Anolis sagrei: one gene and its partner. The protein of the gene in region 1 binds, or shares a complex with, the protein of each later gene. Links are inferred from orthologs where the notes say so. Each region holds a gene or a part of one and is shown in the gene's direction. Other genes may lie near its edges. The genes, in order: TRAPPC11 and TRAPPC12.

Evidence for each region.
Region 2: TRAPPC11 (region 1) and TRAPPC12 share a complex: the UniProt entries of both Homo sapiens proteins name them as parts of the multisubunit TRAPP (transport protein particle) complex. The link is inferred for Anolis sagrei from reciprocal best matches to the Homo sapiens genes TRAPPC11 and TRAPPC12.

What each region holds. Positions count from the first base shown.
Region 1 is NC_090025.1:65,960,268-65,976,646, forward strand, and holds the start of TRAPPC11 (trafficking protein particle complex subunit 11), read left to right. Parts: upstream 1-8,419; 5' UTR 8,420-8,604; intron 8,605-12,258; 5' UTR 12,259-12,279; coding exon 12,280-12,483; intron 12,484-13,011; coding exon 13,012-13,181; intron 13,182-13,917; coding exon 13,918-13,988; intron 13,989-15,304; coding exon 15,305-15,419; intron 15,420-16,167; coding exon 16,168-16,267; intron 16,268-16,379. Other genes in the region: RWDD4 (RWD domain-containing protein 4), read right to left, coding at 59-108, 273-390, 1,078-1,222, 1,321-1,430, 6,191-6,271, 8,019-8,042. UniProt on the Homo sapiens protein: Involved in endoplasmic reticulum to Golgi apparatus trafficking at a very early stage.
Region 2 is NC_090021.1:119,244,698-119,261,076, reverse strand, and holds the start of TRAPPC12 (trafficking protein particle complex subunit 12), read left to right. Parts: upstream 1-5,786; 5' UTR 5,787-5,852; coding exon 5,853-5,916; intron 5,917-11,828; coding exon 11,829-13,009; intron 13,010-14,436; coding exon 14,437-14,553; intron 14,554-16,379. Other genes in the region: EIPR1 (EARP and GARP complex-interacting protein 1), read right to left, coding at 5,629-5,670. UniProt on the Homo sapiens protein: Component of the TRAPP complex, which is involved in endoplasmic reticulum to Golgi apparatus trafficking at a very early stage.

The sequences.
Region 1 (16,379 bases):
CTATAAAATCTCCTGAAACTACACACTTTTAATGCATTTAAAACGTGATCTATGTTACCTTGATTACATCAACCCAATTCCATCCTCGAGGAAGTTCCCCCTTGGAATCTAGCCAAAACAATAACAGAACAAAAATTATTTTAATTTTCAATTTTCTGATTTAAAAGATGTATTTAAGTTCTGTGCAGTAAAAGCTTTTCTTTAAGTTACATAAGACATAGACATGACAACATGAATTCCAATTTTCTTAATGACAGTGAAAACATACACACCTGTTTTATCTGCTAGCTTGCGTTTTTGTGTTTTGGTTAACTGTTCTTTTTTCTCTTTTTTCTTACTTGGTTGAACAACATCAGAATGTCCAGTTGGGATGCAGTTGTTCAATGCTGTCTAAAAAAATGTAACTTGTCAGTAAGAATTTTCTAAAATGTAGAGAGCCTATTTACTTTGATTCCTTTCGTTTTTTTGTTTTGTTTTCCACTTCTTTCATTTAGTCAAAGTCAAAGGTATCTACACCTTCAGATTTTCAACCATAGCATTTGTTTGTTGTTGTTGTTGAAAGTCTGTTCAAAATTATATTAGAATTCGGATTATTAATAAATCTTATTCAATTTGCAATTTGGTACATACTAGGGAATGAAAGCTGTAGTAGTTTAATATGGCATAAAAGCTGTTATTTTTTCATCAAAACAATATATAATTCTATTCAAAGTACGATTATTTCAAGCAATAATCGGTCCCTTCCACACAGCTGAATAAAATCCCACACTTTCTGCTTTGAACTGGAATATATGGCAGTGTGGACTCAGATAACCCAGTTCAAAGCAGATATTGTGAGATTTTTCTGCCTTGATATTCTGGGTTATATGGCTGTGTGAAAGGGCCCAGAGTAACATTATCCATGATACTGGGTTAGTATGCTGGCTAAATAGTTACTTATTAAGTTCATTTATTAGATTTTTTAAAAATCTAATAATGCGATGTTTTAAAGGATGGTAATATGATTGACATCAGCTTCTTAACAGTCAGAAAAACGTTTATTTTGTAAGGCAGATTGACAACTGATCATAAGCTTACCACAGTATGGGCAGGTTGATTTTCCATAAATAATTCTTTATTATCTTTGGCGAATTCAAAAATGGTGTATGTCATAGAGGTCCCAAGGTTAACTTCAACTTCCTCCATCAATTTATTTAATATGCTTTGCTTTACAGCTGAGGATCTAGAAGAGATCACAGAACATTTTCATAGCAACAGATGGAAAGTGCAGCCATTTTTTTAAGGAGGTGGATATTAAGACTCAAAAAATGATTTGCTTACATGGCATTGTTGAAGAATGCATCCATTGATATTACAGGGGCTGTTTGGGGGTATGTTTCTGGCCATGATATTTCTATCAGGAAGGCTTTAGTGTCTCCATTATCACCTATCTAAAAAAAAACCAACCACAATAATAGATCATTATTTTGCAAGAAGCTAGAAAATCTTAGGTTTTCTTTTAAAACTAAAACAATGTTAGGTTCTTGTGGGTTTTTTTGGGCTATAGAGCCATGTTCTAGAGGCATTTCTCCTGGTTTCGCCTGCATCTATGGCAAGCATCCTCAGAGGTAGTGAGGTCTGTTGGAATTAGGACAATCTATATATATAAATCTGTTAGGTTGGTTATACCGGACAGGTAAACTCTAAACCCCCCCAACGAAACTGCACCAAAATTGCCATGGCCCTAGGACAACCCACTCGGTACAAACTAATCCACTCACAATTACAAACAACACAACAACACACTCACAAAATGGCAAAACAACTGAGCATGCGCACTGGAGCAAAGTCTCCAGCTCGCGCGCACACATGGCCGAACGGCCAATGCGCCCTCAGCACTTCCCTCGCCCCGCCCAGCACGAACATGTCGCCGCCCACACACACACAAACAACGCAACTTCCCCCCGCCCCCTTCCCTCCACCCCCTCCTTCATCTTACCCCTCCCACGCTGCCTCCAAGCCTCGCCGCGCCGCATCCCCACCGGAAAGACACGCCTCCTCCCTTCGCCCCACCCCTTCCCTCCCTGACTCATTCCTTCCCTCCTCCCTCCCTCCCTCCCCCTCCGGAAAGACACGCCGGTGGGGATGCGGCGCGGCGAGGCAGCGGCGCTTGGAGGCAGCGTGGGAGGGGTAAGATGAAGGAGGGGGTGGAGCGAAGGGAGGGGGCGTGTAACCAGAGAGGGAGGGAGGAGGGAAGGAATGAGTCACAGAGGGAAGGGGTGGGGTGAAGGGAGGGGGAGACTTTGAAGACACGCCCCTCCGTTCGCCCCACCCCTTCCCTCCCTGACTCACTCCTTCCTCCTTCCACCCCCTCCGGAAAGACCCGCCCCCTCCCTTCGCCCCACCCCTTCCCTCCGTGACCTTGAGTATGGGAGTTGTAGTTCACCGACATCCAACTTCGCCCCGCCCCCTTCTCGCCCACACATGCACCACGCAACTTCCCCCCTCCCCCTGCTAAGCCCACCCACGCCGCTGCCAAGCCTCGCCCCTTTCTAACCCTGCCACCCTCTTCCCCCAGTCCAAGCCCCGCCACGCCGCTTCCTGCCCTGTCGAAACCATCTCTCCGCCCCCTCCTTCATCTTACCCTGCCCATGCTGCCTGCACTCCTCCTCCTCCCACCCCACTCTGCCGAAGCCCCACCCACACCCACCGACGCCCCGCCCCTGCACTCCTCCTCCTCCCACCCCCCTCCGCCGAAGCCCCGCCCACACCCACCGATGCCCCGCCCCTGCACTCCTCCTCCTCCCACCCCCCCTCCGCCCAAGCCCTGCCCACACCCACCGACGCCCCGCCCCTGCACTCCTCCTCCTCCCACCCCCCTCCACCCAAGCCCCGCCCACACCCACCGACGCCCCGCCCCTGCACTCCTCCTCCTCCCACCCCCCTCCACCCAAGCCCCGCCCACACCCACCGACGCCCCGCCCCTGCACTCCTCCTCCTCCCACCCCCCTCCGCCCAAGCCCCGCCCACACCCACTGACGCCCGGCCCCTGCACTCCTCCTCCTCCCACCACCTCCGCCCAAGCCCCGCCCACACCCACCAACGCCCCGCCCCTGCACTCCTCCTCCCACCCCCTCCGCCCAAGCCCCGCCCACACCCACCGACGCCCCGCCCCTGCACTCCTCCTCCCACCCCCTCCGCCCAAGCCCCGCCCACACCCACCGACGCCCCGCCCCTGCACTCCTCCTCCCACCCCCTCCGCCCAAGCCCCGCCCACACCCACCGACGCCCCGCCCCTGCACTCCTCCTCCCACCCCCTCCGCCCAAGCCCCGCCCACACCCACCGACGCCCCGCCCCTGCACTCCTCCTCCACCCACCCCCCTCCGTTGTAGCTGCTGGGATTTATAGTTTACCTGTAATCAAAGCATTCTGAATTCCAGCAACGACGGAAATAAACCAAACGTGGCACACAGGACTCCCATGACCCAACAGAAAGCACGAGAAGGGTTGGGTAAGCCCTACTCAAAATTCAAACTGCCAAAACCATCCCTCCTCCATCTTACCCTGCCCACGCCACCTCCAAGCCCCGCCCCCTTCAAACTGCAAAAACCATCCCTCCTCCATCTTACCCTGCCCACGCCACCTCCAAGCCCCGCCCCCTTCAAACTGCAAAAACCATCCCCTGCACTCCTCCTCCCACCCCCTCCGCCCAAGCCCCGCCCACACCCACCGACGCCCCGCCCCTGCACTCCTCCTCCACCCACCCCCCTCCGTTGTAGCTGCTGGGATTTATAGTTTACCTGTAATCAAAGCATTCTGAATTCCAGCAACGATGGAAAAAAACCAAACGTGGCACACAGGACTCCCATGACCCAACAGAAAGCACGAGAAGGGTTGGGTAAGCATTGGGAAGGAAGAAAGGAAGGAGGGAAGGCAGGAAAGAAAGAGGTATCGAAGGAAGGAAAAAGAGAAAGTAGAAAGGAAAGAAAAATAAAAGGAAGGAAAGGCAGGAAAGAGGTAAAGAAGGAAGGAGAAAAGAAAATAAAAAGTGAAAGAAGGAAGGAAACATGGAGGGAAGAAAGGAGGCAAAGGAAGAAAGGGGGAGGGAATGAAGGAAAGAGAGAAGGATGAAACCAAGGAGCGAAAGAAGGAAAAAAAGAAAGAAAGAGGTAGAGAAGGAAGAAAGGAGAGAAAGGGGGAGAAAAAGGGGGAAGGAATAGGTAGGTACCTCTCTTTCATAACACTCCAGATACCTACCTCTACTTTGAAAAGTTTTACTATAGGCCACAGCAACGCGTGGCAGGGCACAGCTAGTGGGTTTATATATCTGTGGAATGGCTGGGGTGGGGCAAGGAGCTCTTCCCTGCTGCAGTTAGATGTGAATGTTTAGTTGATCACCTTCATTAGCATTTGAAGGCCTGCCTGAGCCTGGGAAAATCACCTGATGAACCAGCCTGGACACAGCATATTATTTGAGAACACAGAAATGCTGGACCACACCAACAACCACCATGTCAGACTACACAGAGAAGCCATTGAAATCCACAAGCATGTGGACAATTTCAACAGAAAGGAAGAGACCATGAAAATGAACAAAATCTGGCTACCAGTATTAAAAAACTCTAAAATTATAACAGCTAAACAACAGAGAGGAAAAGGCACAGATTAACACCTCCCAGCAACAGATTTTCCCAGGCTCAGGCAAGCCTTCAAATGCTAATGAAGGTGATCAGCTAAACATTCACACCTAACTGCAGCAGGGAAGAGCTCCTTGCCCCACCCCAGCCATTCCACAGATATATAAACCCATTGTCCTAATTCCAACAGACCTCACTACCTCTGCGGATGCTTGCCATAGATGCAGGCGAAACGTCAGGAGAAATGCCTCTAGAACATGGCTCTATAGCCCGAAAAAACCCACAAGAACCTAGTGATTCCAGCCATGAAAGCCTTCGACAATACATTAAAACAATGTTGAAAAATGCTTGTTTTATAACAGAGATTTACTTCTTACACCCACTGCGACTTTAAAATGATGTGGAAACAGAATGACATTTTCACAAGTGGGAAGACTTCAAATCCAGATGTGTAAATGAAAAACAGTACTTTATATAAATCTATAAAACTGCAACCAGAAAAGACTTGCATGCCATAGGGAATGTTGCTCATTCTAAAGAAATATGGATCATTTCGTAAGAAGGTTTATTAAGAATAAGAATAGGCCTGGCCTGATGAATTTCATGTTTCCCACTAAAATGAATGTAGCTAATTTCATAAATTTGAGGCCCAAGACTAAAGATTGTATTATTTACTTTAAAAAAACATAACTGTAATAGAAAACCGGCTCTCCTTTCTGAACCACATATTTATTTATTCATTTATTTAACTGTATTTATATACTGCCTTTCTCACCGCTTGGGGTTCTTAGGGCCATTTACAACATATTAATGGCAAAAATTCAATGCCAACATACAGCAAAACAAAGAAATCATAATAACTACTTACTACATATAACTTTGACTTAAAATCATTAAAACCATTAAACATAAGACATAAACAAAATTTAAACATTCAGACAAAACATCCTAGAATAAATATTAAAATCACATAATCCAAAAAAATACACCATAACCACTCCGATTGTCATTGCACATGTTCCTTAATTATTCTTTGCACTGTGTTATTTTAATAGCCAATGGCTTGATCTCACAACCACGTTTTTGTTCTCTTTCTAAAGGTCAGGAGGAAAGGTGCTCCAAAGCTGAGAAGCCACCAATGAGAAGGCCCTGTCTCTCACCCCCACCAATCAAACATGTGATGGATGCAGGACCGAGAGCAGAGCCTCCTCAGAATATTTTAACTTCTGTGATTCTTTCTATTATTTACTTTTTAAAAACACAACTGTAATAGAAAAGTGTGATCAGCTCCCCTGCTGTTAGCCCCTGCTTCTGCCAACCTAGCAGTTCAAAAACATGCAAATATTAGTTGATCAATAGGGTACCGCTCCAGCAGGAAGGTAACGGCGCTCCATGCAGTCATGCAGGCCACATGACCTTGGAGGTGTCTTTTGGACAATGCTGGCTCTTCGGCTTAGAAACAGAGATGAGCACCAACCCCCAGAGTCGGACACGATTGGACTTAATGTCAGGGGAAAACCTTAACATTTCAAATAAGAAAAATTACTTCTAGAATAAATTGTTTCCAACTCACCCTATATTGAAATGATACTGGGCTAAGTTCCTTGAAACACTCATCTCCTTCATAAATCGACCGCAAAGCTTCTAACTCCATCTGGAAGAAGAATAGAGCGCCATGGGAGTGAGGCACATTGTTACACACAGAAAAAAGGGAGTAAGAAACAAAACTTTCCAGAGATTGCAGAAATACAACTCTCTTCAGGTATAGGATGCACCTACACCAGGCTTGGGCCAACTTGGGCCCTTTCCTTTTTGGACCTCAACTCCCACAATTCCTAACAGCCTCAGGCCCTTTCCTTTTCCCCCTCAGCCGCTTAAGCCTTGGGAAGTCGGACTTGGCCACAGTGGTCCATGTTCTTGTTACACCCCGATTGGATTACTGCAACGCACTCTACGTGGGGTTGCCTTTGAAGACTGCTCGGAAACTCCAACTGGTCCAGCGAGAGGCAGCCAGATTGCTCACTGGAGCGACATACAGGGAGCAAACCACCCCCCTGTTGTGTCAGCTCCACTGGCTGCTGATCCAATTCCGAGCACAATTCAAAGTGCTGGTTTTGACCTACAAAACCCTAAACGGTTCCGGCCCAGTGTATCTATCCAAACGGATCTCCCTCTATGTCCCACCTTGGAACCTAAGATCCTCTGGGGAGGCCCTGCTCTCGACCCCGCCTCTATCACAAGTGAGATTGGCGGGGACGAGGAGCAGGGCCTTCTCGGTGGTGCCCCCCCGCCTATGGAACTCACTCCCCGGGGAGATTAGATCGGCAACGTCCCTTCTTTCATTTAGGAAGAGGTTGAAGACCTGGATGTGGGACCAGGCAATTGGACATTCTGGCAGCTAAAGAAAGACTTGATGACGAGCTGGAACTTGACGAGACGGAATGGATTTACGGAACTCCGAACGCTGAGCTCAGGATTAGCCTTCTACTGTGTTTATGGTGTTGTTGTGTATTGATGATTTAATTTTTAATTTGTAATTGCTTAATTGCTTTTATATATGTATGTATATGTGACAAGGCATCGAATTGTGCCTTTTTCTGTAAGCCGCCCTGAGTCCCCCCTTGGGGTCGAGAAGGGCGGGGTAAAAGTGACAGAAATAAATAAATAATAAATAAGTCTGTTAGGAATTGTGGGAGTTGAAGTCTAAAAAGGAAAGGGCCTGAGGCTGTTAGGAATTGTGGGAGTTGAAGTCCAAAAAGGAATGGGCCTGAGGTTGTTAGGAATTGTGGGAGTTGAAGTCTAAAAAGGAAAGGGCCTGAGGCTGTTAGGAACTGTGGGAGTTGAAGTCCAAAAAGGAAAGGGCCTGAGGCTGTTAGGAATTGTGGGAGTTGAAGTCCAAAAAGGAAAGGGCCTGAGGTTGTTAGGAATTGTGGGAGTTGAAGTCCAAAAAGGAAAGGGCCTGAGGCTGTTAGGAATTGTGGGAGTTGAAGTCCAAAAAGGAAAGGGCCTGAGGTTGTTAGGAATTGTGGGAGTTGAAGTCCAAAAAGGAAAGGGCCTGAGGCTGTTAGGAATTGTGGGAGTTGAAGTCCAAAACACCTGGAGGACCCAAGTTGGCCCAAGCCTGATCTACACTGTGGAATAAATACAGTTTGACACCACTTTGGCTGTCCTTGGGGTGTTCCAGAGTGCCAATCCGATGGGGATTGTGGGAGTTGTAATCCTAGAAGCAGCCTGTTCCATAGCTTCTTAACCCAAACTGAGTCAGTCTCCCCTCTAGGCCTAACTACTCCAATTGACCCAGGTGGCTCGAAGTGGGCGGGGCCTGGGGAGGCCCCTCCCCTTCCGGAAGTGCCTTAACACTTTCACTGCCGGAGCCCCCTCAAAATAAGCCTCTGCCTCACCTCTTGGTCCTCGTTCGCCGTCATGGCGAGAAGCCAGACAAGGCCGCGGCCCTCTTCCCCCTTTTTTCCTCCTCCTCCTCCCTTCAGCCGTCCTTCAGAGCAGGGAGAAGTCCAGCATCTGCCTCGACCCCTTCCCACACTGCGAGCATCTGAGCCAGAGAGCAAGGCTGCCTTCTGCGCAGGCGCCAAACCAGTGAGGTGACAGCTGCGCCAACACAAGCCGCTCATTGGACAGCGTCACCACGGTCCCGGCTCCCTATTGGCCCGAACCCTTTAGCCCCGCCCACGGAGGAAAAAGGGGGTCCCTCCTTCTTTTCATTGGTCCTTTCATTGACCATTTGCTCCGCCCCGAACTCCCTTCCAATCATCGGTTTCGAGGGCGGAGGCGTCTCTAACGCTGATTGGTCTGTGAGGGCTGTCACTCTCAGCAGTGCTCCTCTCTGGCTTCCTGAGTCAGGCCTTGGGTTCCTGATTGAATGCTTCGCCTGCTCCACTTTCTGTAGCTTGGCTGGGCCTTGGCATGGGCGGCGCCGGTAGGAATTGAGCCGGGCCTCCTCTACTGTTGACGCGGGACCTCGGAACGAAGGTGGGAGCCCTAGAGAAAGCCTCAGGCCCCTTCCACACAGCTGTATACAGTCTACATTGAACCGTGTTATATAGCAGCGTGGACTCAGATAGCCCAGTTCAAAGCAGATATTGTGGATTCGCTGCCTTCATATTCTGGTTCTTATGGCTGTATGGAAGGGTCCTCAGTCCACACTGCCGTGTAATCCAGTTCAAAACAGATACTGTGAATTCCCTGCATTGATATTCTGAGTTATAATGTTGTATGTAAGGGCCCTCAGTCCACACTGCCATATAATCCAGTTCAAAGCAGATATTGTGGATTCCCTGCCTTGATATTCTGGGTAATATGGCTGTATGGAAGGGTCCTCAGTCCACACTGCCATATAATCCAGTTCAAAACAGATAATAATATGATATTATAATTATATATTTTATATTACATGTAATATTACTAATAATATTACACTATAATGGTATAGTACAGTATAGTAATATATAATACTGATATTGTACTATACTAATAATATAATATATATTGTGTGTGTATGTATATATATATATATTTATTTATTTACTGCGCTTATATACCGCAATTCTCAGCCCTAGGGCGACTCATTGCTGTGTACAACATGAAAAAAAATAGGTGCAAATTACAAACCATAGTGCAAAATAATCCACAATTCATCATTATCATAAAAACATCTTATCAAAAAATCACATTACTACCAAATTTCTACTATATATATCTATCTTGTAAGCTGCTATGAGTCCCCTTCGGGGTGAGAAGGGCGGCATATAAATGTTGTGAATAAATAAATAAATTTTGTGTATTATCTGCCTTGATATTCTGGGTTATATGGCTGTGTGGAAGGGCCCTTAGAGAGGAAAAGGAAGGAATTGGAGTGACATCTACACTGCTGAATTAACACAGTTTTGACACTGGTTTAACCGCCAGGGCTCAGTGCTGTGGAATCCTGGGAGTTGCAATTTTGGTGAAGCCCTAACACCCTGTGGACTAGATCGAACACTAACATAGGAAATATTGCATGAACACCAAGCACAAAGTAGCTGCATGCAATACCATCCTGTGGAAACTTACTGGCAGCACATGGGGTGCAGATCCAAAATTAATAAGAACATTGGCCCTAGCCTTGTCTTATTCAACTGCTGCGTATGTCTGCAATGTTTGGCACAAGTCTGCTCATGCAAAGCAGGTGAACATAGCATTAATTTACGACATTTATATGCTGTCCTTCTCACCTTCTTTCTTCTCTGTTGATAAACTCTACAAGCTAGCTGGTATCCCCCCCACCCCCGATGTGCAATGGGAAGTTACTGCTAACTGTGAGAGAAATATAGTTGAACACTGTGAAAGCCACCCATTGCATTGCTATCAGCCTCCTCCCAGATGACTCAAATCAAGGGAAAGCTTCATGAGAACCACCACTCCTCTTAACAGCCCCAAGCAACGGCAAGAGTATCCCTCTGGGCATCTAAACCAGGAAATCCCAATCGGATGCCCCTCCAGGAGAGTCTTCCTCCAGGGACAAACCAAAAATGGGCAACTTGGAAGTCCCTGAACAGACTCTGAAGCAGAGTGGGCAGATCAAAAGATAACCTGGCAAAATGGCACTACCTAAAAGAATCCCCCACCCTGTGTGACTGTGGAGCAGAACAGACAACTCTGCAACTGTATGCTTGTCCACTATGCCCTGCCTCATGTATGGAGGAAGAATTGTTGGCAGCTACAGATAATGGTGTTGCTTTTGCCCGTTTTTGGTCAAAGGGTATTTAGCCTTTTGTGCTCCTTCTATTTTTTATCAGTTTTATACTGCAATGCTTTTGATACGAAATAAAGAAAAAACCCTGTGGACTTTGTAGAACTGCAACTCCCATGACTGCATGGCACCCAGCAATGACAGTTAAAGTGGTGTGAAACTGCATTTAATCTATAGTGTAAAGCAGAGCTTTCCCAACATGAATGTGTCGCGCAAACTTAATGAGAGACCTCTATGAGAAATAACCAATAAATCATATGCTTAAACATAAAAATGCAAGGTTTTCATGATATATGATGTGACCCCATACATTTTTGTATTACAATTTAGATATGTGTCTGGTTTGCTAGTAAAACTGAATTACTGTGTTGCAAAATGATGCTTGTCTAAAAATGGTGTCACCAACATGAAATGGTTGGAAAGCTTTGGTGTTGATGTTGTTCTGAGACAATGCTGTTATTTCATAGGACGGCACAGCCTTTTGGTTTACAACAGAGTTAAGGAGCTATTGGCGCTTCTTTTGGACTATATAACTCACTTCCTCTATCATTAGATAGATTAGATAGAGGGGTGAGGAGTTGTGGTCAAGATTATCTGAAGAATGTTTATATCTGTTGCTCATTTTCATATTGTTGTGTGTGCTGGACTTGTATGTGATATTGTATATCTTTGGGCGCGGGGGGGGGGGGGGGGTTGACGTATGGCCAGAAGACAGCTCTCCCCACATTGAGCATGTTTGGCACTTGAAATTACTATATTTTTTGAATTCTGCAACACTTTATTTACCATCTAAACATCTCTAAAAATGGATTGCGTCTTAGAAACATGGGTTCTTACACACACACATACACATTTCTATTGGTAGCACTAAAATTAGTTTACATCAATGGCATTTTTAAAATGGAAGAAGTATTTGAAATGAGATCTGTCAATACCATGTGTGTCCTAAAGACAAATTAATGTGTTCCAAAACAAATCAGGCTTAAACTCTCCCTTAAAAGAGAAACCATTGATATCCATAAGCATGCGGACAATTTCAACAGAAATGAAGAAACCACAAAAATGAACAAAATTTAGCTGAAAGAGACCCTTCAAATCCTTATTATATAGAATATCACAGGCTGATGTTTAACACTGCCAACTCATATTTTGATACCTCAAATGTTAGACCTAGGTATATTTGACCCGCTGATTTTTAAAAAATGGCACCGGTTTCCCCCTACAAGCTCTAGTTTGTGAGATGCAGAGAATATGTGATATACCAGTCTTCTACTGCTTGCCCATAGAAAATAATGATAACTACATCTAAGAAAGTAGAACTGATGCAGTCTACTTTTACTATGATATTGTTATTTTTGTTTGCTATGTTTTTTGATATTGTCATTTATGCATTGTTTTTATTCTTGTTTTGATTTGTACTTATTTCTGTAATCTGCCCCGAGTTCTGTTGGAAAAGGGATGTGATATAAATAAAGATTATTATTGTTAAATGCAATTTTCTGAATCAATGTCCCAAGTAACTCCAGGAACAGGCTAAAAAAGCAAGACACTAAGAAAAATATGTGTTATTAGATATTAGATTGTTAGGGCCAAAGTACAAGTGGACCATTAAGAGCTGCATAAAAAGATAGTCCTTTCCCGTCAAAAGATGGCAGATGGTTCTTGACAATAGCATTCTTCTATTCTTACCGCTAAATGAAGGATGCTTGTTTTGTCTGCATGTACTTTGGGCAGACAAAGAGTTTAGCCAAATCTCAGAAAAGAGTTCTTCCTTTTGTTCATCGCAGGCTATAAATGTATCAATAATTTGTATTTTTGAAGCACCAAATTTATGTCTGAATATTATTGTCAGTATATGTTTAATGTTTTGCCTGTTTATATGCTTAATGTTTTAGAATTCCTGATACACTGTCAAGATGAGCCCTTCACAGTGGGACTTTCCGGTGGAACTATGTTGCCGGCCTATGGCTTTTGTTACACTCACGGGCTTGGATGTAGTATATAATGCTGTTCATCGAGCGGTTTGGGATGCCTTTTGTGCAAACAGGAGAGCTGACAGAGTGCCCATTTCTTTTAAAGTACTGCCTGGTGATCATGAATACCCTAAATGCAGAACAAAGGTATTGCTTGAAGTCTTAGCTATGTTTACTGAGAATCACTTACAGTTTATACTGATCTTTGAATGTTGCAGTAATAAGTTTCCTACTTGAAGATTGCTTATAGGTTTAAACTGTCATTGTGAAGGAATCATTTCAAAAGTAAGTGCAGAATTATAATTTAAGTCTCAAAACTACTAAATGGGTTGGTTTATTAAATAAGTTATTATAAATAGAGTAGAAACCTTTTCTATGATTCAAAGCAAAAACTGTTGTCAGTTTGCACCATTGGTTAAGCAGTTCAGAGAACCAGTGCAACACCATCGTACCCATATTTGCTCAGAATTAAGTGCCCAGAGGTTAGAAAGCTTAGGCTTTAGAACATGTCTTTTAAGACTTCAACACAAATAATTAAACAAGCAATGATACAGATTTTGTTTCCTTCAGAAACCATTATCAGGAGTGACATAAATAAAACAAAATGTTCAGGAAATTGCCTTTGTGTATGTATGAACAGAGAGAACAGCTTCTCTTCATATTTATTTATTGCAGAGAACATCATATGAATGGTACATTCCAAAGGGTATCCTGAAGACTGGTTGGATGAACAAACATCTGAATTTGGTACCTGCCCTCGTTGTGGTTTTCTATGAGCTGGATTGGGATGAACCACAATGGAAAGAAAAACAGTCAGAATGTGCTACTAGAGTTGAAATTGTCAGGTATAATCTCTGTTGATTTATTAGTTATTAGCTATTCCTTAGTAAAGGTGTATTGCAAAGAAATGTTACCTTGTTAAACAGTTGTATTTCACTTTTCCCCTGTCTTCCACATTTAGGATAGACACTACTGCCCTACACATGTTAGAGCACCTTTACAAAAAATCATTGCAATACCTGTAATTCTGCTCTTAGATTGCTTCAAGTACTGTATTTTGTTGCATCATAGCCACACTTTTAATCTCTTTTTTATTGGAAAAGGGAGGGAGTGTGACTATTACACGATGAAATAAAATGTTGCCTTGTATTTGCCAGTTCCTGTTTCTTTAAAAAAAACCCAACTATTTGACTTCTGAAGCGAAGAGGAGGAAAGAGGGACAATTCTGTGATTATTTAAACTGTCTTTGAGGGGTCAGGGAGGGAGGAAGGTAGTTTTGTTTTAAAACTATCTGTAACAATTATGCAAGAAAAGAAAAAATTCATTGGGGAACCCAAAAAGCGGGGTGCATTGATTATGCAATGTTGACTATTATGTGGTGAAATGCCATAAGTGGCAAGTGAGATTTGCCTGAGATTTGAAAAAAAGTAAGGAGGAGCTCTTGCCTTTCCAAAAGAGGAACAAAGAATGCATCCTTTAAGTTGATTCGGTTTTATTTCGAATAATTCCTTAATACATTAGATTGTTTTGTTGACAGTTGTTTGAGTATTTGCAATCCTGAATCCAGCATTGTTCTTACAGGCAGAGTTTGCAAGGACGAAACACAAAAGTTGCTGTTGTTTTGATACAGAAGAAAACACCATTGCCTCCAGGTAAAGTATAGTTAGACTCATTCTGTTTTTGTTCTAGAAAACAAAGACAAAATTTTAAGGAACTTAATTAAGACTACGAAAGAAAATGGTGTAAATAAGGTAGGAGACCTCTTAAAACCCACCTGAGAAATTAAAAAAATAGGGTAAGATAAAGGACAGATAAAGAACTGGATAGCATGGTTAAGCTTGTCCCAAAGAATAAAGGAAATGAAAAAAAAAAAACAGATGCCCCATTAGATAGAATCGTTAATTGGAAAATAGAAAAAGAAAATTATTGGGGAATTATATAAGGAACTAACACCCTTATCTTATAAGACAAAATGCACCTTAGTAGAGGCTGGGAAGCAAGATACAAACTTTGATGAGAATTTAGTTAGGTCCTGGGTTGACAAAATCCAAAAAAAATAATCATCTAAAGATCAAGGAAACACAAAGGGAAACAATCACAAAATGGTTCAGAACCCCCTTACAATTGGCACACATTATGGGAAACATTTCTCATAAATCCTGGCGTAAGTGTGGGGAAATTGGGACATTTTGTCATATGTGGTGGGATTGCATTGAAATTTAAAAGTATTATAACACAGTCAGGGAAGTAATAGAGGAAATAATAAGGCAAAAATTATATTAGAATAAAGCCCGATTTCTGTCCCTCACTATAGAGGTAAAGAAGGGGAATAACGAATGGACAGAAATATTAAAACTTATGATATCAGCCATATATTCCACAATTGCCCAAGGTTGGAAAGGTAAAACAAGATGGGATCTGGAAACATGGTAGACTGACCTCTCTGAATAATTAACAACTTAATTAGTCAAAGGGAAAATAAATATTTGAATAGTAATTCCAAACAAGACTGAATAGGAAATTGACAAAACAGAAGGAAATTATAGATACAGAATTTTGAACCAGACCATCCAAACGATTAAATCAGTGTATTAAAATAGTCTGACCCAGATTGGGGGGGGGGTGGGAAGAGGGGAGGGGGATTTCTACATTAATTGGTTACGTTAGATAGAGGTTATAGTTCAGTAATATCTAGAGAACATCAGAAAATAGTTCTAACTGATAAAATAGGACCACTAGAGATAGAATAGCTGTAAAGTGTACTCTAATAAATTTGGGATGAATTGATATTCTTTTGCAAGATTTAATTACATACTTCTTAAAATTCACTAAAGTGGTTGATTAATGTACAATATTCCCAACAAAGTAGATGATATTGATTGATTTGTAGATATAGCTTAATAAAGTATACGAAGATTGCAAATTTGAGTCTGATTATACTTCTTATTGTGTTCATGTGGCCTTTTAGGAGAAGATGTCATTGCTTCTGAGCGGGCAGCAGCATTATGCAATGCTTGTGACCTGTCTGGAAAATCACTCTTTGTTTTGCCGCATACTGATCATCTTGTAGGTTATATTATACGGTAAGTAAATAATGTGAAAGGTGGGACTTTCTATTGATATTCTTGATGAAGGCTGAAATTCTCTTAATGTATGTTTGAGAGAAATCCCCTAAGTGAGATTTACTTCTCACATAACAGAATCAGGCTCCCTGTGTATTTCTGTTAAATTTTAAGAAGAATAGAATGATCCAGCTATTTCTAAACATCTCCACAGTGTAGAGCGGTTTCATTCAGATGTGGAGAACCTTTCCCAGTCTGTCTCTTGAGATGGAAAATGGGACACTGAATGATGTTTCTTGTTTATATATTTCTCCCAAATTGACTTCAGTGCATTTTTGTGCAAAATGTTAAATATAGTTGGGGTAAACTTTGAAAAAAAAATTGTGGAGTATCATTAAAGGTGGGTTTGCTCTAGGTATTTATTGACTATTTTTGCCATCAGTTAATCATGTGTATTTAGTTGAGGGGTCTTGGTAAATCAGCATGTATATAAACTAAATTGATTTAGTGGATCTCCTCCAGGTGTGACTAACAACTGGATTTACTCAATTAAAGCAGGCATGGGCAAACTTTAGCCCTCCAGGTGCTTACACAGCTGAGGGGGAAAGGAAAGGACCCGAAGCTGTTAAGAATTGTGGGAATTGAAGTCCAAAACACCTGGAAGGCAACAGTTTTCCCATGCCTGCTTTAGCCTATAAATAAATCTCTATATGTACTGGAAGTGATTTCTTTTACTTAGTATTTTTTGCATTTGATATTTTTTGCTCAGGCTAGAAAATGCTTTCTATGAACATGCACAGACCTATTACTACACAGAAATCCGAAGAGTAAAATCCCATAAAGAATATCTAAACAAAACGACACATCAGGTATAGTTAAAAAATGTTATTGAATTTATTATTGGAGTATTTGGGTGTACAGAATTTGCTGCACAAGAAGTAAAGTTTCATTTCTAACTGAACGTTTGCATTATTTTGAGGA
Region 2 (16,379 bases), on another chromosome or scaffold:
TGAATTTATCTAGTGATGCCTCACTTTGGGTAAAGTGACTGGCTCACTAATAAAAGTACAGTATAGTGATTCAGGTGTAAGAGAACTCTCCAAAATGAAGTGTCGACACATTTCATCAATGGGAAGAATGCACTGAATATAAACAGCAACTGCACAACTGAGCAAAGTGAACAAGTACCAAATCAACATGACTCTCTTGTCAAATTACTGACTCTGTGCATTTCGTATTTTAATCTCATTTTCGGTATAATGGTGGGGTATAAATTGAATGAATAAATAATAAACAACATATCATAGAGTTTTCTTAGCAAGATTTGGCTTTTACCTTCTTCTGACTGTTAGAATGTGACTTGCCCTAAAGCCCTCCAGTGGGATTTTTCCATGACTGAGCAGCAATTTGAACCCTGTTCTCCAGAGTCAGAGTACACTGCTCAAAACTAATACACAATAACTTGCTATAGGATGCTGCCTTATACCAAAGTCAGATCACTAGCCCATGTCACTCATTATTCGATCAGATGCTGACAGCTATTCTCCAGAATTTCAGACAGGAGCTTTTCTGAGATTAACTCTGGAAAGTGGCAGTGCCAGAGACTGAACCTAAAACCATCTGACTGTAAAGCATTTGGTCAACCGCTGTTATCCACTTTTTTCCCTTTCTTTGGTGGAGGAGAAAGAAAGAACTCTTAACTATAGATTGAGGCATAGCTGTGTGTGGACATGAATGAATGAATCCAAGAATAAAACTACAGTTGTATAAGACTGTGAGAGTCTTATAAATGCTATAATCATCAATTATAAACTAATGTGCAAACAAAGCTATCCAACATTTCCAAGATACAGTTCAGGTGCTTTGTTTGGATCAGTTATAAACCATTCACTGGGAAGTGTGTACACCGACATATTCCTGAAGATAAGAAAACTCTTACAAAATATTTGTTTAAAACTGTTTTCTGCAAAACTGAGTTCTGATTTACTTCATAATTTTCTAGCCAGAAAAGGGACAAATCGGGTAAGCTGGAAATCTGCCAAGCTATTTTACCCAACTCTTCTTTAAGATACATGTGTTGAATATAGTCTGTCCTTCACATTTACAGGTTTGACTTTTATGGATTGAATTATTTGCAGATTTGATTAAAAGATTTTTTTTTAGGAGTCTATAGGTCCTTCGGCATGACTCTGTGATCAACCTCTGTTGAAAGTTGACCACAGAATCAAGTTGGAAGACCTAGAGGTTCCTAGAGACAGTATAAGAGGAATCTCTAGGTCCGTTTGTGATTATATGTTGAACTTCCAGAGTTATGCTTGAGCAGGGGTCCTCAAACTTTTTCACGAGAGGGCCAGGTCACAGTCCCTCAAACTGTTGGAAGGCTGGATTATAATTTGAAAAAAAACATGAATGATTTCCTATGCACACTGCACATATCTTATTTGTAGTGCAAAAACACTTAAAAATAATACAATAACTAAAATTAAGAACAATTTAACAAATTTAAACTTATTAGTATTTCAATGGAAAGGGTGGGTCTGCTTTTGGCTGATGACATAGGATTGGTGTTGTTGTTGTGTGCTTTCAAGTCGTTTCAGACTTAAGTTGACCCTGAGTGAGGGCCGGGTAAATAACCTCGGAGGGCCGTATTCGGCCCCTGGGCCTTAGTTTGAGAACCCCTGTGCATGAGGATCTAGAAATGTGATTGTTCAAGCAAAAAGTAGTAGAAGTTTTTAAAATTGTGGTTTATCCACTTTTGCGGGGATTCTGAGCACCTAACCCCAGCAAATGAAGAGAGCTGGCTATATTATTAAGAATTGTGAGAAATTTTGGTCACCTCTTTAAGAATGGCTTCATTTCAGAACACAATAATTTACAGTTCTTTGGTGTTATATGGCTGCATAAAACAAAGATTATTTCTAGACAGCACTTTTGCCTTTCTTATTTTTCATTAAATCAGAGTGCTCTTTCAAGCCAAAGACATAGACATGAAGACAATCCTGGCATCTAGATTAACAACCCAAACCTAATGCCATTTATTCATTGTTTTTGGTAGGGCTTCCTTTCAAGCAAGGCTGCTATGGACTGCATGGACAGGAAATGAAGCACACAATTCTTACATTTTGGCATGATCAACAGTTCATGCAGCGTAAATTTTTTATATATATTGCCCTTTAATAACATTGGCAGGAAATTTTACAATACAATCCAGCAACAAAACACCCCAGAATTTAAGGAAAATACATGTAAAACAACAGATTAATAAGGCAGTAAAACCGGAGCACCATAAGACGGTAACTATGAGAAAAGACAAAAATGCTTGAGAGGAAAAGGAAAGGCCTGGTGTCTAAATGATACTAAAATGATCACCAAGAGAGCCTTTCGGTGAAAAGCATTTCCATAATTGGAGTACCTCTAAGAAGGCACATTCCCTGGGAGTCAAATCAACTCAATTGCTTCAGAAGGCACAGGTATTCACAGAAAAAAGAGAGAAAGTGAGAGAAGGAAAGAGAAGAAAGACAAGTATACAGTTCATAGAGGTTAGGGGTTCGGGATCCCTGCAAAAATGGGAAAACCATGAATGTCATAATCCCCCTATTATGCACACAACAGATTCTTTTTTCACTAACAGCCCCCAGCCCACATTCCCTTCCCCATCTTTCCACTATAAACCCTCAGCCAGGTTTAAGCCCCTTTCCCACCGATCCATCTTCTCAGCACTCCTTCTTTTGCCCCTCCATGTCCTGCCAACAGCTTCATGCCCTCATTCCATTTAGCACTTTTTCCACCATAAAGCACAGCCAGAATTTAAACTCCCTTCCACTATTACATCTCCTTGCCTCACTTCTTCTGCTGCCCTTCTGCCTGTCCTTCCATGTCTGACCAAAGGGCAGTAAAGGGAGTGATGCCAAGAGCAGAGCTGGCAGGAAAGAAGAATTTCCTGCCAGCAGTAGGAATAGGGTGAGATGGTGGATTGGTGGAAAGCGATTTAAACTCCAGCAGTCTTCATCATGGGAAGGTTGTAACAAGAATAAAAAGTTGGTGCTATGGGACAGCGAGGGAAGGTCAGGTGGATTGAAAGGAAAGGATTTTAAAATCTGGTAGCAGAAGGAGTGAGACAAGGGAATGAATCAGCCAGAAAGGGTTTAAGATCTAGCTGAGCCTTCATAGTGGGAAGGCAGTAAATGGAGTGAGGAGATGGCGCTGATTGCAGGATAGAAGGAGCAGCTCAAGGAGTGAGGCAAGGAGGTCAAACTTGTTAAGCCGAAGATTTGCAAAAGAGAAACCTGTGAATGTACTTCAAATATACTGATCCTAAGCTATGAAAGTTAAATTCAACCCTTGAATTGGTCCTGGAAATAGACCAGAAACCAATGCAGCTGTTAGCGCTGAAACAGGATGTCATAATATCCAACTTTATTGATCCTACTTGCCCTTGGTCTGGCATTTCAAAGATAAAAACTATGAGACCTTGGGCTCAAGCAGCACCTTAGAAGCTTTAGTCTCTCTGTTTTAACCAAACACAATTTAGCATATTGTTGAAACCCATGAAAAAATATACATACAGCTCCCATCAGTCCTAGTCATGTTGACTAATGGCGAAAAATACAGGAGTTGTAGTCTAGCATCTGCCAGGCAGAATAAAATGAAATGGCGGGCTGGATTCTGTCCATGGACTTTGAGTTTGACACATATGATCTAGAAACTCCTAGAGAGAACATCTCTATAGGAATCTCTGGTAGATGTTTACCATGGATTCACCCTAGTCTTAACAGATTCCTAGAGAGATGCTCTCTCAAGTAAAAATAAAAGCGTTTTTGGCAGCTTTCTCACTTTTGCTGGGGTTCTGCGTCCATCTTACCTTATGGAACAGTATGTATGTAGGTATGATTCTAAAATGCCATTGATTGTAAAATAGGCACTAATTTAAGTACCACGAACAGAGGGAAAAAAGCTTTATTTATACATACAAAAAAGCACCTGCAATCCCAAGCCACACCCCAACTGTTGACATATTTATATGGAAAAAAGCATATCCCAAAATCAAGGAAATATTGTTTTGAGAAAATAAAATATTGTTTTATATGCATATGACTTCTCTTTTTAAATATGATGCTTCTTAGCTAATGTATTTGATAATCAATAAGAGATAAGATATGTGCGTGGTTCCATAAATTTTCAGTTTATGTTTTGCCTGCAATTATTATTACACACACATCAAGTCTCCTATTGGAAATAGCAACCTTCTACAAGCCTTCTATACTAGTTATTTGCTATTTATATAATTCAGATTACTTACTATATTGTAAATATGTGTATTGGTATACCTAATTTGTCTTGCACGAATACTAGTGGATATATACCACTAAAGAAAAGATTCACTCAAATGAGTTTTTAGCTCTTCTCAGGATTATCATACTTTACAAAAAGGTTATAATCATTACAAATTGTGTGGATGCCAAATGTCATAAATAAATTGTAAATAAATAATCTCCAAAGGGTCGCACTTCCAAAAAGGCTTTGGAGATTCTGGTTTTCCAAAAGGTTATGATGTCAAAGGTCATTCTTTCCCAAAATCTCCTTTGTGTAGAGAAAAGGTGGGATATAAATATACATAATAATAATAATTTCTTTTTAAGAGCCCTAGAAGAAGGCCATTATCAATATATCCAGGCCAAAAAAACATCCATTGGGCTTATTTGAGAGACACAATCTTTTACACATCCCCTGATTCCATAGCACTGAGCCATGGCGGTTAAAATGGTGTCAAACTGCATTAACCCTGCAGTGTAGATGCACCACAAGGTATCTCATGATGCAAATACAGAGATTCCAAAATACATTGAAAAATTTGAAATCCAATACAATTTCAGGTAAGTCATACTCAACTTGTATTTATAAAATTGTACGTTTTGCATTTACAGATGCATTTGGTGTGAGGTTCGGCCCTTCCCCACTGCCATATAACTCAGAATATCAAGGCAGAAAGTCCCACAATATCTGCTTTGAACTGGGTTATCTGAAGCCCCTTCCACACAACTGAATAAAATCCCACATTTTCTGCTTTGAACTGGAATATATGTCAGTGTGGACTCAGATAACCCAGTTCAAAGTAGATATTGTGGGATTTTCTGCCTTGATATTCTGGGTTATATGGCTGGGTGGAAGGGCCCAAGTCCACATTGTGATATAACCCTGTTCAAAGCAGATATTGTGAGGTTTTTTGCCTTGATATTCTGGGTGATATGGCTGGGTGGAATGGCCCAGAGTCCACTGCCATATAACCCAGTTCAAAGCTGATTTTGTGGGATTTTCTGCCTTGATATTCTAGGTTATATGGCTGGGTGGAAGGGCCCAGAGTCTACTGCTATATAACCCAGTTCAAAGCTGATTTTGTGGGATTTTCTGCCTTGATATTCTGGGTGATATGGCTGGGTGTAAAGGCCCAGAGTCCACTGCCATATAACCCAGTTCAAAGCAGATATTGTGGGATTGTATACAGTTGTGTGGAAGGGGTCCTAGATTATAGGAAACATGTGTTGCTGCTGTTCACAGCATTCCCCTTCCTTTCCAATTACCATGCTGATCATGACACGACAAAAAAAAAACCCTCATTGAAGCCCCTTCTTCCCCATTACCTGGAACTCGAGCCCATAAATCACGGGAGCATCATCCTCCATGGCTTCCGGGAAGCAATCCCCATTCAAAGCCCCATAGGGAAAAGGCGAAGCTCACAACAAGTGCTTGCACGTCCCTCGCCGGCTTCCGTCTTTCTCTCCACTTCCTGGATGGAAAGAGACGCTCCGTTCACGCAGCGGCAGAAGAGACGGCGGCTGCAGTGGGACCGTGAAAGCGGGCGCGCATGCGCACTCGGTGGGTTTCCCTATTTCGCCTCGGAGGCCTTGCCGGTGTTGCTGTCAGTGGAAGTAAGTGAGGCCAAGAAGGGGCCAGGCACGTGTATTTCTTCGCTTTGGCTGGCGCAGGGAAGGGAGAACACTCCTGTGGGGTTTGTGATGCTGCCTGAGCCCCTGTTCAGAGGATTTCAACTCTCTCTTTCTGTCCCTGTGATTATTGGATATTGAAAAATGCGGCTTGTCGTGGAAACAAGGATTGGTGCCAAAGCTGCAGTGGAGACACTTTCCCCCCGTGATAAACTCTTTCAAGAGTCAATTTCCCTTCCAAGGGGGAGATTTGTCTCACTGCGTTGCCATAGAATCCCGTTTCTATAATATATTGTATAAACATATAATATTGATAATATTATAATGTAATACAATATAATAATAATATGATATTATAATTATGTATTTTATCTTATATGTAATATTACTAATAATATTACAATATAATAGTATAGTGCAATATAGTAATATATAATACTAATATTGTGCTATGGTAATAATATAATATACTAGCTTTCGGTTGACAACTCCTATGATATATGGCCTGTATCATGACTTGAATTGTCATTCAGTCTGATGTCCTATATTATATTAACTGATCCTGTTAATTTGCTCTGTTTCCATGATTTTTCCTATGCCGTTATACATTGTCATCTACCTTATTAAACCAACTATCATTTAACTAGTTCACGTAGTGGTTTTCCTCCCCCCCCCCCCTCCAAAATTAGTCTGCTGGTATTGTTATTGCTAGCTATTTTTATTATGTTGTTTTATGCTGTTTATATTGCTTTAATTGTTATTGCTTTATTTTAACTGTATTCTGCCTGGGCTTGGGTTCCATGTTAGCCACCCCAAGTCCCTTCGAGGAGATGGAGGTGGGGTAGAAAAATAAAGTTCTTCTTCTTCCTCTTCTTCTTCTAGCTGTACCCGCCATGCGTTGCTGTGGCCAACTTTTCCTCCCTCTTTCTCTTCGTTCTTTCTCTCCTTCCTTCCTTCTCTTCTTCTTCCCTTCCACCCACCCCCTTTTTTCTTTCCCTTCACCTTTCTTTCCTCTCTACCTTCTCTACCTATTCTTGGACTGCAACTCCCAACAGTCCTCCTGATCCATCCATCTATCTACCTACCTACCTATCTCTATCTAATCTATCTATCTGGAGGATTGCTGGGAACTGCAGTCCAGGAATAGGAAATTGGAAATATGCAGGGATTGGGATACTCTCAAAGAAGTCCAAGGAGAAGGAATCTTGCAGCTTGGAAGCAGTGCATTTGAATCATCCCCTTCTCCTAAAGGGTCTGGTCTAGGAAATGCTGGGAGCTGTAGTCTGGAGGAGAGTGTGGATATGCTATTGTGTGTTTTGTTCGCCAGGGGAAGTCGTTTTTGTGCTGTGGTGTCTTTTTGCTTTTTTGGTTTCTAAAGTCTTTTCGGCTGTGTTTTTCAGTGTTTTTATGAGTGATGGTCACTCGTTGGCCTGACAGGTGCATTGTGTCCAAATTTGGTGTCAATTCGTCCAGTGGTTTTTGAGTTATGTTAATCCCACAAACAAAGATTACATTTTTATTTATATAGATTGTATTTACATATTATTTGTAAACCTCTCTGAGTCCCCTTCAGGATGAGAAGGGCAGCATATAAATGTTGTGAATAAATAAATAAATTTCTGAATCCAAATTATCTACTTTGAGTTGGATTATATGGTAGTGTAGAACTGCCATATAATCCAGATAATCTGGATTCAAAAAAAAGGATGATATGGCAGTGTTGATCTGGCCTGAGACTGTCGTACTTTGGCCATATCCTGAAAAGAAATGGCTCACTAGAAAAGGCAATACTGTTTGTTAAGGGGGAAGGCAGCAGGAAAAGGTAAAGACTACACTGCAGAGGGATACACTCAATCATAAGGGTGCATCTACATTTATGCTGTGGTTCTCAGCCTGTGGGTCCCCAGGTGTTTTGGCCTACAACTCTCAGAAATCCCAGCCAGTTTACCAGCTTTTAGGATTTCTGGGAGTTGAAGGCCAAAACATCTGGGACCCACAGGTTGAGAACCACAGGAATGAAGCATTTTGATCCCACCTTAATTGCCATGACTAAATGCTACAGAATCCTGGGAGTTATGGTTTTACAATGTCTTCAGCCTTCTCTGAGAAAGACTGTTTGTGCCGCACCAAACTACAAATCCAAGGATCCATAGCATTGAACCATGTCAGTTAAAGGGGTGTCAGACTTCATGGATTCTGCAGTGTAGATGCACCCTGGGTCTGCAAGACTTCAAGAAGGGTGTTGGCGATAGGATTACTTGAAAGTCTCATTCACAAGTCAACATTAAGAGCAACAATTCATTGCTATTAATTATTATTGGCATGTATTGTCGAAGGCTTTCATGGCCAGAATCACTGGGTTGCTGTGAGTTTTCCAGGCTATATGGCCATGTTCCAGAAGCATTCTCTCCTGATGTTTCACCCACATCTATGGCAGGAATTCTCAGAGGTTGTGAATTCTGTTGGAATGTAGACAACTGGGGTTTATATATCTGTGGAATAATGTCCAGGGTGGGAGAAAGAACTCTTATCTGTTTGAGGCAAGTGTGAGTGTTGGAATATGTTTTTAAAGGTTTTAATGTATGTATGTTGTAATTCTGTTTTAAATGTTGATTGTAATTTTTAAATTATTTTAATGTCATCAAATAGTTGCCTATGTTGTAAAGCTACCTTGAGTCACCTTCGGGTTTGAAAAAGGTGGGGTAGAAATATCGTAAACAAATAAATAAATTGGCCACCTTGATTAGCATTGAATGGTCTTGCAGCTTCAAAGCCTGAGGGAATCCTTTGTTGGGAGGTGTTAACTGCCCCTGATTGTTTCATGTCAGGAATTCCCCTGTTTTTAGTGTTCCTCTTTATTTACTGTCCTGATTTCAGAGGGTTTAAAAAAATATATTATTGGCATGTATATATTGACCCTTTACTTCAAACTGTGGGAAAATACATATAACATACACTTCCTGAATTTTATTATACAAAGATGTTTGTTTTATTAAAATGATAATAATCTTTGCAAACATATTAAAGAAAATAATTTGTCACATATTTTTCTATTTTAAGCATCCAGAAACCCACCCCTGCTTTCTCTTCCAAAAAGACAAGTGTTGTACATAGTGAAGCCAAACCTGACAGAGCTGAATTTGGGAAATTATTTTTCAGTACCTGAAAACTGCATTTTTGGGATGGCTCAGTTCAAGTTGCTTTCAGCTAAAAATTTATAGCATGCTTTCTATGCTCTCCATGGCAATGCTCAATTTGAAATGGAATCCCCTTCACTACATATTTTCTTTTACATTTCTTTGTCTTCTATCATTTCGTGCACCATTATCATATTTTTGGCATGCTGGATTCCCCATATTCCTGTAAAGAATACTTTAGTGTCCTCCAAGTGTTTTAGACTTCCACATCCAGGAATCCTAGCCAGCTTACCAGCTGTTAGAAATTCTGGGAGCTGAAGCCCAAAACGCCTGGAGGACCAAAAGTTGGGAGCCACTGGTGTAGAAGAACAAATATTGGATATTTCTGCAATTCAGTATAAAGGCATATCCTTGCTTTGAAGTAACTAACTGCAAAAGTAAATAAGACACGTCTCATCAAAATCTATGACATTTATTGCAGTGTTTTGACCTAGTAATCCCTCTGTCTCTCTTTTGAAGTCTACCAGCACCAGTGTTTTGCCACGATTCTTTGCCAGATAATTTAGACAGTACCCACTATATCATCAAAGCTCTGATTGGTAGCAGCGCAATAACTCAATCCAAAAGAAATTTCAAGCAGTCACTTGAATATGATATGAAATGATATAAGTGATTATAAACTTCAAAGTAATCTCCAGCCAGAGCAAGCAATCACAAGATGAAGTTGTGATTTAAGACAGTGAATAGAGTGCACAAATGCCAACTCCATCCCATGGAGTGTCCCTCCCGGGACCAAATCTCTTCATGTGAGAGCAATTTTTTCTAGTGCTGAAAGAGAAATCCCACTCCTTGTTACATTGAGCAGCAATTGAAGATATCAGGGCATCTCCAAGTGAGGGATATAGCCCATATCTGGGGTAGTTGTCCTTTTAAGCACTGGTGAGATGAGTGGCATAGGAAGAAAACGTACAGTGCAGCTGGTGTTCGGAGGAGCTGGTCCTCCAAAGCTAGGTATGTCTCTTTGCCCACTGCATGACCTTCTACGGCATGGTGAATGACAACAGAACTGCCTTGTAGTACCCAAGAACTATATGTGTGTACTCAAAATGAAAAGAGCTACTTCAGTGGTTCTCAACCTGTGAGTCCTCAAATGTTTTGGCCTACAGCTCCCAGAAATCTCAGCCAAATTTACCAGTTGTTAGGATTTTTGAGAATGGAAGGCCAAAACATCTGGGGACCTACAGGTTGAGAACCACTGAGCAGCATCTAGAACTAGTCAACAAAATTTGCAGGTTTTTTAAATGGCTAGCTTTAGAGGTACTAATACCAGTTCTACCCTCTTGCCACTTAGCCTCTTCTTACCTTGTTACTTACTAGGGGTGTGTGAATCTCTTCTGTTTCCATTTCGAATTTTAGGTAACCCTCATTCTGTTTTCATAAAGGTTCCAGGAGATGGGGGTGGAGGGGGAGGTGTTTGGATTCGTAATTCGGAAACCTGAGTTTTATTTCCATTTCAGGAAGAATCTTCCCAAAAACAGAAGGGGGGGGGGGGGGAGAGAGAGAGACAGACAAAACAGAACAAAAATAGAACAGATTCTGCGCCATTTCACACATCCCTACTTGTTACTCTGGTATACATTTATTTTTCAGCAATGATAGTTGTTTAGTGCTTATTCCACCGATGTTCATGTCTTGAGAACAATCGATCTGCAATTTTAATCAAGCATCCCATCCACTCTCAAGGAGGCAAAAATCACTCTTGTCACACTGTCTAAAGCAGAGAAACAGCAGCCCAGTCAGGATTTACTTGTTCTAGCTGTTCAATATACTATTTACCCACCTCGTTCACCATCTGCAAGTTCTTTCTCATCTCCTCCTGCTATCTTCCTCCTTCCCATTTACTCCTCCATCTTTTCCCTGACCTGCATTCTTCCTTCTCCATAGTTTGTTCTTCTCTGTGCAACCAGGCTCCCCCAAAGCCTTGCCCCTCTCTCTCAGCAACACAAGGGCCAACTCTCCTGTTGGGGTCTAAAAGAGCAAGCATTGGCTACTATTACAAGTGGACAAGTCAACTCTGATGTAGGGAATTGTAGCCTATTGTATCTAGATCAACTTCTATGCCATTGCAAATGAGCAAGCCAGAATGAAAAAAGTTTACTGTACAGAGCAGTGTTGAGGTGCTTGACACCAGAACATTTCCCATAAATAGGTGAATTCATGTATAATGCAGCCTTGTTAAATCATTTTACGCTGGAGGAACCTTTGAACAAGTGTTCAGATCTCAGGGACTCCATGTATAAAGTTATATCTTCTTCTTAAAAAGTATATTGATTTTTTTTCCAGTTATAATCTTTTACATAATCCCTACTAAGCTCTTGCAGAACCATGGGGATTTAAGGAACCCTGGTTGAGAAACCCTTGTCTAATGTCCCTATTTGGTCCTTCTATCTATAAGTATACTCCAGTTAATGAAGTACGGTATATGCTTTAGTATAATCCAAGTTTTTCAGCCCATTTTTAGGCTCAGGTGAAAATACAGTACTAAGGTCTTCAGTAGGTGGCTTTGGTGGTTTTCAGTGCTTTTATGTCACTTGTCATGGTTGTCTTGCACAAGGTTAGTGAGGAGGACTTTATTGTTTTGTAACACTTGATGTTTATTGAAATGCTGGATAGACTTCAGTGTTGCTGCTTTATGCATAAATGGCCAATGATTTCATTACCAATGAGAGTAATCACGTTCACTTGTATTTTCACTTACAGCAGCTATGGAAAACAAAGAAAGCAGTATTGGAGATGCAGCAGAAGGTGAATGCAGCGTCCAGCAGCAAGCGGATGAAGAACTTCTTTTTCAGGAAGAAAACATTGATCTTGGAGGAGATGAGTTTGGGTCTGAGGAAAATGAGACTGCTGTGGAGGATTCTAGTCCCTTCTTAGATAAACTGAATGAACAGATGATGGAAAGTGTCATTATATCAGATTCCCCAAATAATAGTGAAGATGATACCGGTGATCTTGGTTGTCTGCAAGAAATTGTAAAGCAACTGGAAGAAAAGGATGTTCTCGTAACAGAAGGAGAGACAAGAAACAAGGCTGTTGGTGATGAGGATGACACTGAACCCGAAGGCACTCCTAAAGCTATTTCTAATAGTGGAAGTGATAATCAATTCACTTTAAAAGAAGACTTGATTCAGGAACCTGCACAAGATGAATTGGAAGTGAAAGGTGAAGGTCCTAATTCTGTTGCCAACAGTGAAGGCAAAACTGAGGAGACAACATCCTCGCCACTTGCCAGCACATCACCTGTCGGCACTGAGCCTATTCCTGTGTGTACTATCTTCAGCCAAGGGAATCATATGAACGGCCAGCAACAATTCTTGCATGATGGCTTTGAGCCTCAAATGGTGAAGTCACCTAGCTTTGGTGGTATAAGCGAGACTCCGGTGAAAACTCATCCCCAGGTGGTTCAGCCTAGTCCAAGTCTAAGCAAGTTTTTTGGTGAAGCCATTAATACCAATACACTAGCTTCTGATTTCTTTGATTCATTTACCACATCCTCTTTCATTTCCGTCAGTAACCCTAATGCAAGCTCATCTGTACCAGAACAAATGTCTTCTCTTGCAACAACTGTAGATTCCCATGACTCTGCTGACCTTAAATGCTCTGCTAAAAGTGGAAGATCTGAAGCTGGAAGATCTGCATCTTCTCCAGAAATATCACAGTCTCCAAAGCCATTTTCCCATATACAAGCCGTTTTTCAAGGCAGTGATGATCCTTTTGCATCTGTGCTGAATATGAGTGAAGTGGACAGAAGACATGATGCTTGGCTTCCCAGTGACATAACTAGAAATGTGTTGATTTCTGTAGCCACGCAGCAGTATAGTAATGTTTTCATAGACAAAGAGAATCTCACAATGCCGGGATTAAAATTTGACAACATTCAGGTAAGGCTCTCCTGTTGCTTTTCAATACCTGTAATACTACAGCTGATACATTCAAAGGCATTTCAAAAATGCCCCCAACTATGAACCCACTCTTCAGGTGATATGTATGACCAAATGTAAAGCAGACATTTCCTTTCCTCTGTAGATGGCCCCTAGCATAATCATTTCTTGTTTTGTTTGAGTTAAGACTATTACACCTTGAGACAATTTGTTACTAATCTAGATAGTTGTTTGAAGTTCTCTCCACATCTCAAGCAAATGAAATAGGAGGAAAGAGTCCTCTACATACTGGTAGCAGTGCATCCTTAACATTCAGTGGCCCCACCCAACAGTTTCATGCAGATCATAATAGACTGAGAGACCAAAGCTCACTCCATGGGATCCCATAGAGAGGAGAAAGTATTTTTCAGTATCATCTAGGGGCCCTTCCACACAGCCATATAACCCAGAATATCAAGACAGAAAACCCCACAATTTGAATTGGGTTATCTGAGTCCACACTGCCATATATTCCAGTTCAAAGCAGATAATGTAGGATTTTATCCAGCTGTGTGGAAGAGGGTTAGGACAGTGTTCCCAACCTTTGGGCCTCCAGGTATTTTGGACTTCAACTCCCAGCCACTTTACCAGCTGTTAGGTACTGTGGGAGCTGAAGTCCAAAACACCTGGAGGCCCAAAGGTTGGGAACCACTGATCTAGGATGAGATAGTAGAAGTACACACACACCAGACTGAGTAGCTTCACACTGTTTTGCGTGGGAGTGGGAATTAACAAAATTGAACCCAGTTCCTCTCCTTCACTTGTGATGAAGTAAGAGGGGGATAGAGACCTTCATGTAGTGACAGAATAGTGCAGACATGCTAACTTGGCAAATCAAAAGTTGCAAAAGTCAACAGGGTTAATATTTAGATTTGAGGGGGGCGGAATCAGGTTTCTTTGTACCATCTCCTTTGAAGGGTGAAGAATATGCATTGCTCAGAAAAAAATATAATTCTGATCACATAACCTTTCCTCAATAGTTATGAGATAGCAAAACAATAAAAATGAAAGTAATGGGCCTAAGTTCTCCAGATACCACATCTCCTATGAAGGTAACCAGATCATAAGAGTAAAAATTACTTACAGAAATCAGTTGGTTTTCCTGTTCAGAAACTAAAACCAAAGTGACAAAAATGGGTTTTCTTTTAAGAAGGAGATGGTAAGCATCCCCTATTTTACACAATAAAAGCTGTTTTCAGAATGAAATTTTTTTAAAATTACCTTTATTAACATAGGAAACGGTACAGATACTCCCACATTCAAGGCCCTTGTTAAGTAGGAGGATTCTCGAGTATGTATTTTCATTAATGTATGAAGTTTATATTTTTTAAAAGCACTTTGGTTGTTACAAATATTGGGTGTATATATTGTATTTTCCATCTTTTCAGGGCGATGCCGTTAAGGACTTAATGCTCCGCTTCCTCGGTGAACAGGCTGCAGGGAAAAGACAAGTTCTAAATGCCAACTCTGTGGAGCAGTCATTTGTAGGCTTGAAGCAGCTGATAGTAAGTAGCAAGGTGTTTCCTCTCTTGAAGCATACTGAGCACAAGGCTTCTTTTGTAGGTAGCCAGGAGCTGAAATTATTCTCATCATCAAATGTGGATGATTCAGTGCCCTGCATTTTAATAATCCGGAACAGGGATGGACAGAAAGTAAATGGTGACTTGCTGGTAAATCTCTTCATGAGTAGCTATAGATCAGCCAAGGTTTTTTTTGCCTTCCAGCTGTTTCACAATAACAGAAATAAAATGATGCGCACCACAAACATCTTAAATTAAAACATTGATTTTTTAAAAAAACAAATAAATAAATCTTGTGGCAACAAAGAATTGGTTTTTGCTTGGAGTTTCAGTACAAGTAATTTACAGTGTTGGTATCTGAAACATACATGGGGTTAGAATTGTTTCCTTCTAAATCCCCAAATCCTTATTGGGGTGATACCTTTGTTAGTCCAATGAAAACATCATAAAGTGTGAAGGCTTTGCATTTGCAAGGGCTTAATGATAAACAAAGAGTAAAATGTTGATAGTATGACTGTGGCCCCTTCCACACAACTGAATAAAATTCAACATTATCTGCTTTGAACTGGAATGTGGACTCGGGGCCCTTCCACACAGCCCTATATCCCAAAATATCAAGGCAGAAAATTCCACAATATCTGCTTTGAATTGGGTTATCTGAATCCACACTGCCATATATTCCAGTTCAGATCAGAAGATGTGAGATTCTATTCAGCTGTGTGGAAGGGGCCTATAATTTTGAAATAGTGTTGCCTCTGTCTTTTTATATTTGTTAGTGTGTAATACATTCATTTACACTTGAAATAAATAAAATCCCACCTGTGCACTATTACTGCCTTAAAGTACAAAATATACATTGATAATATGAATTTGACACATAAAATCTATAATGACTAATCACTGCTGTTTTTAGAGTTTTCATGTTAGACTTCCTTAATGAAGAACTATCATAGAAGTTTTGTAGTTCCTGTAAGCTAGACCATGATCGATGCTTTTTCAAAGAAAAAATATATCAAAAATCCAAAATATTTGAATTGCATTATTTTAGTGTGTTATTAACCCTCTATGCGGGTTAATAAAACTTGCAATCACTAATTTTGTGGTATTTCTGAACACCTTTGGAATGCATGTGGTTTTCCTATATGGACTGCATCATCTAGTGGTTTTCTTATCCAGAGCACAGGATATCTTAGAATTTCAGCACCACCAAATATTTATACCTTGTTTCCGTGCTGATCTTTCCAGTTTGGCCATAACCTCTGAATTCAATTGTGTGCACTGTTCGGAACTGCTCAGCAAATGTAATCCCTTAGCTTTGAAGATAGCAGGTTTTGCAGTAATTCAACGTATTGCTTTTGTTTCCCAGTTGTTGCATCTTAACTGCTTTATGAGTGTACAAAATCTCTTTTGTGGTCACTGATATGACAGTGACTTGAAACTGATTGTCACAGTTCCTCCAAAGTTCCATATTATTATACAGGATTATTATTATGCCTTCAAATCATTTGTGATGTCCAAAGGCTTTATTGTTTTGCCTTCCTTTCATTCCATGATCATGTGTTGAGCCTCTCTGTTTGTTTGAATGATTATCCTATATAAATACTTCTCTGTAAGTGGCATGTTTGTTCGTTTGCATCCAGCTTGGGCCTGGATTTGCCCTAAAGATGGTGCTGGCTGCTTTGGATGTTAATGCCTGGATCTGAGCCTTGCATCTTTATCTTACGATACCTTGTTCCTACCTGAATTACCATAGTTGAGCATTTGCCACCCTTTCATCTGAGCATTTGCCATCCTTTCATCTGAGCATTTGC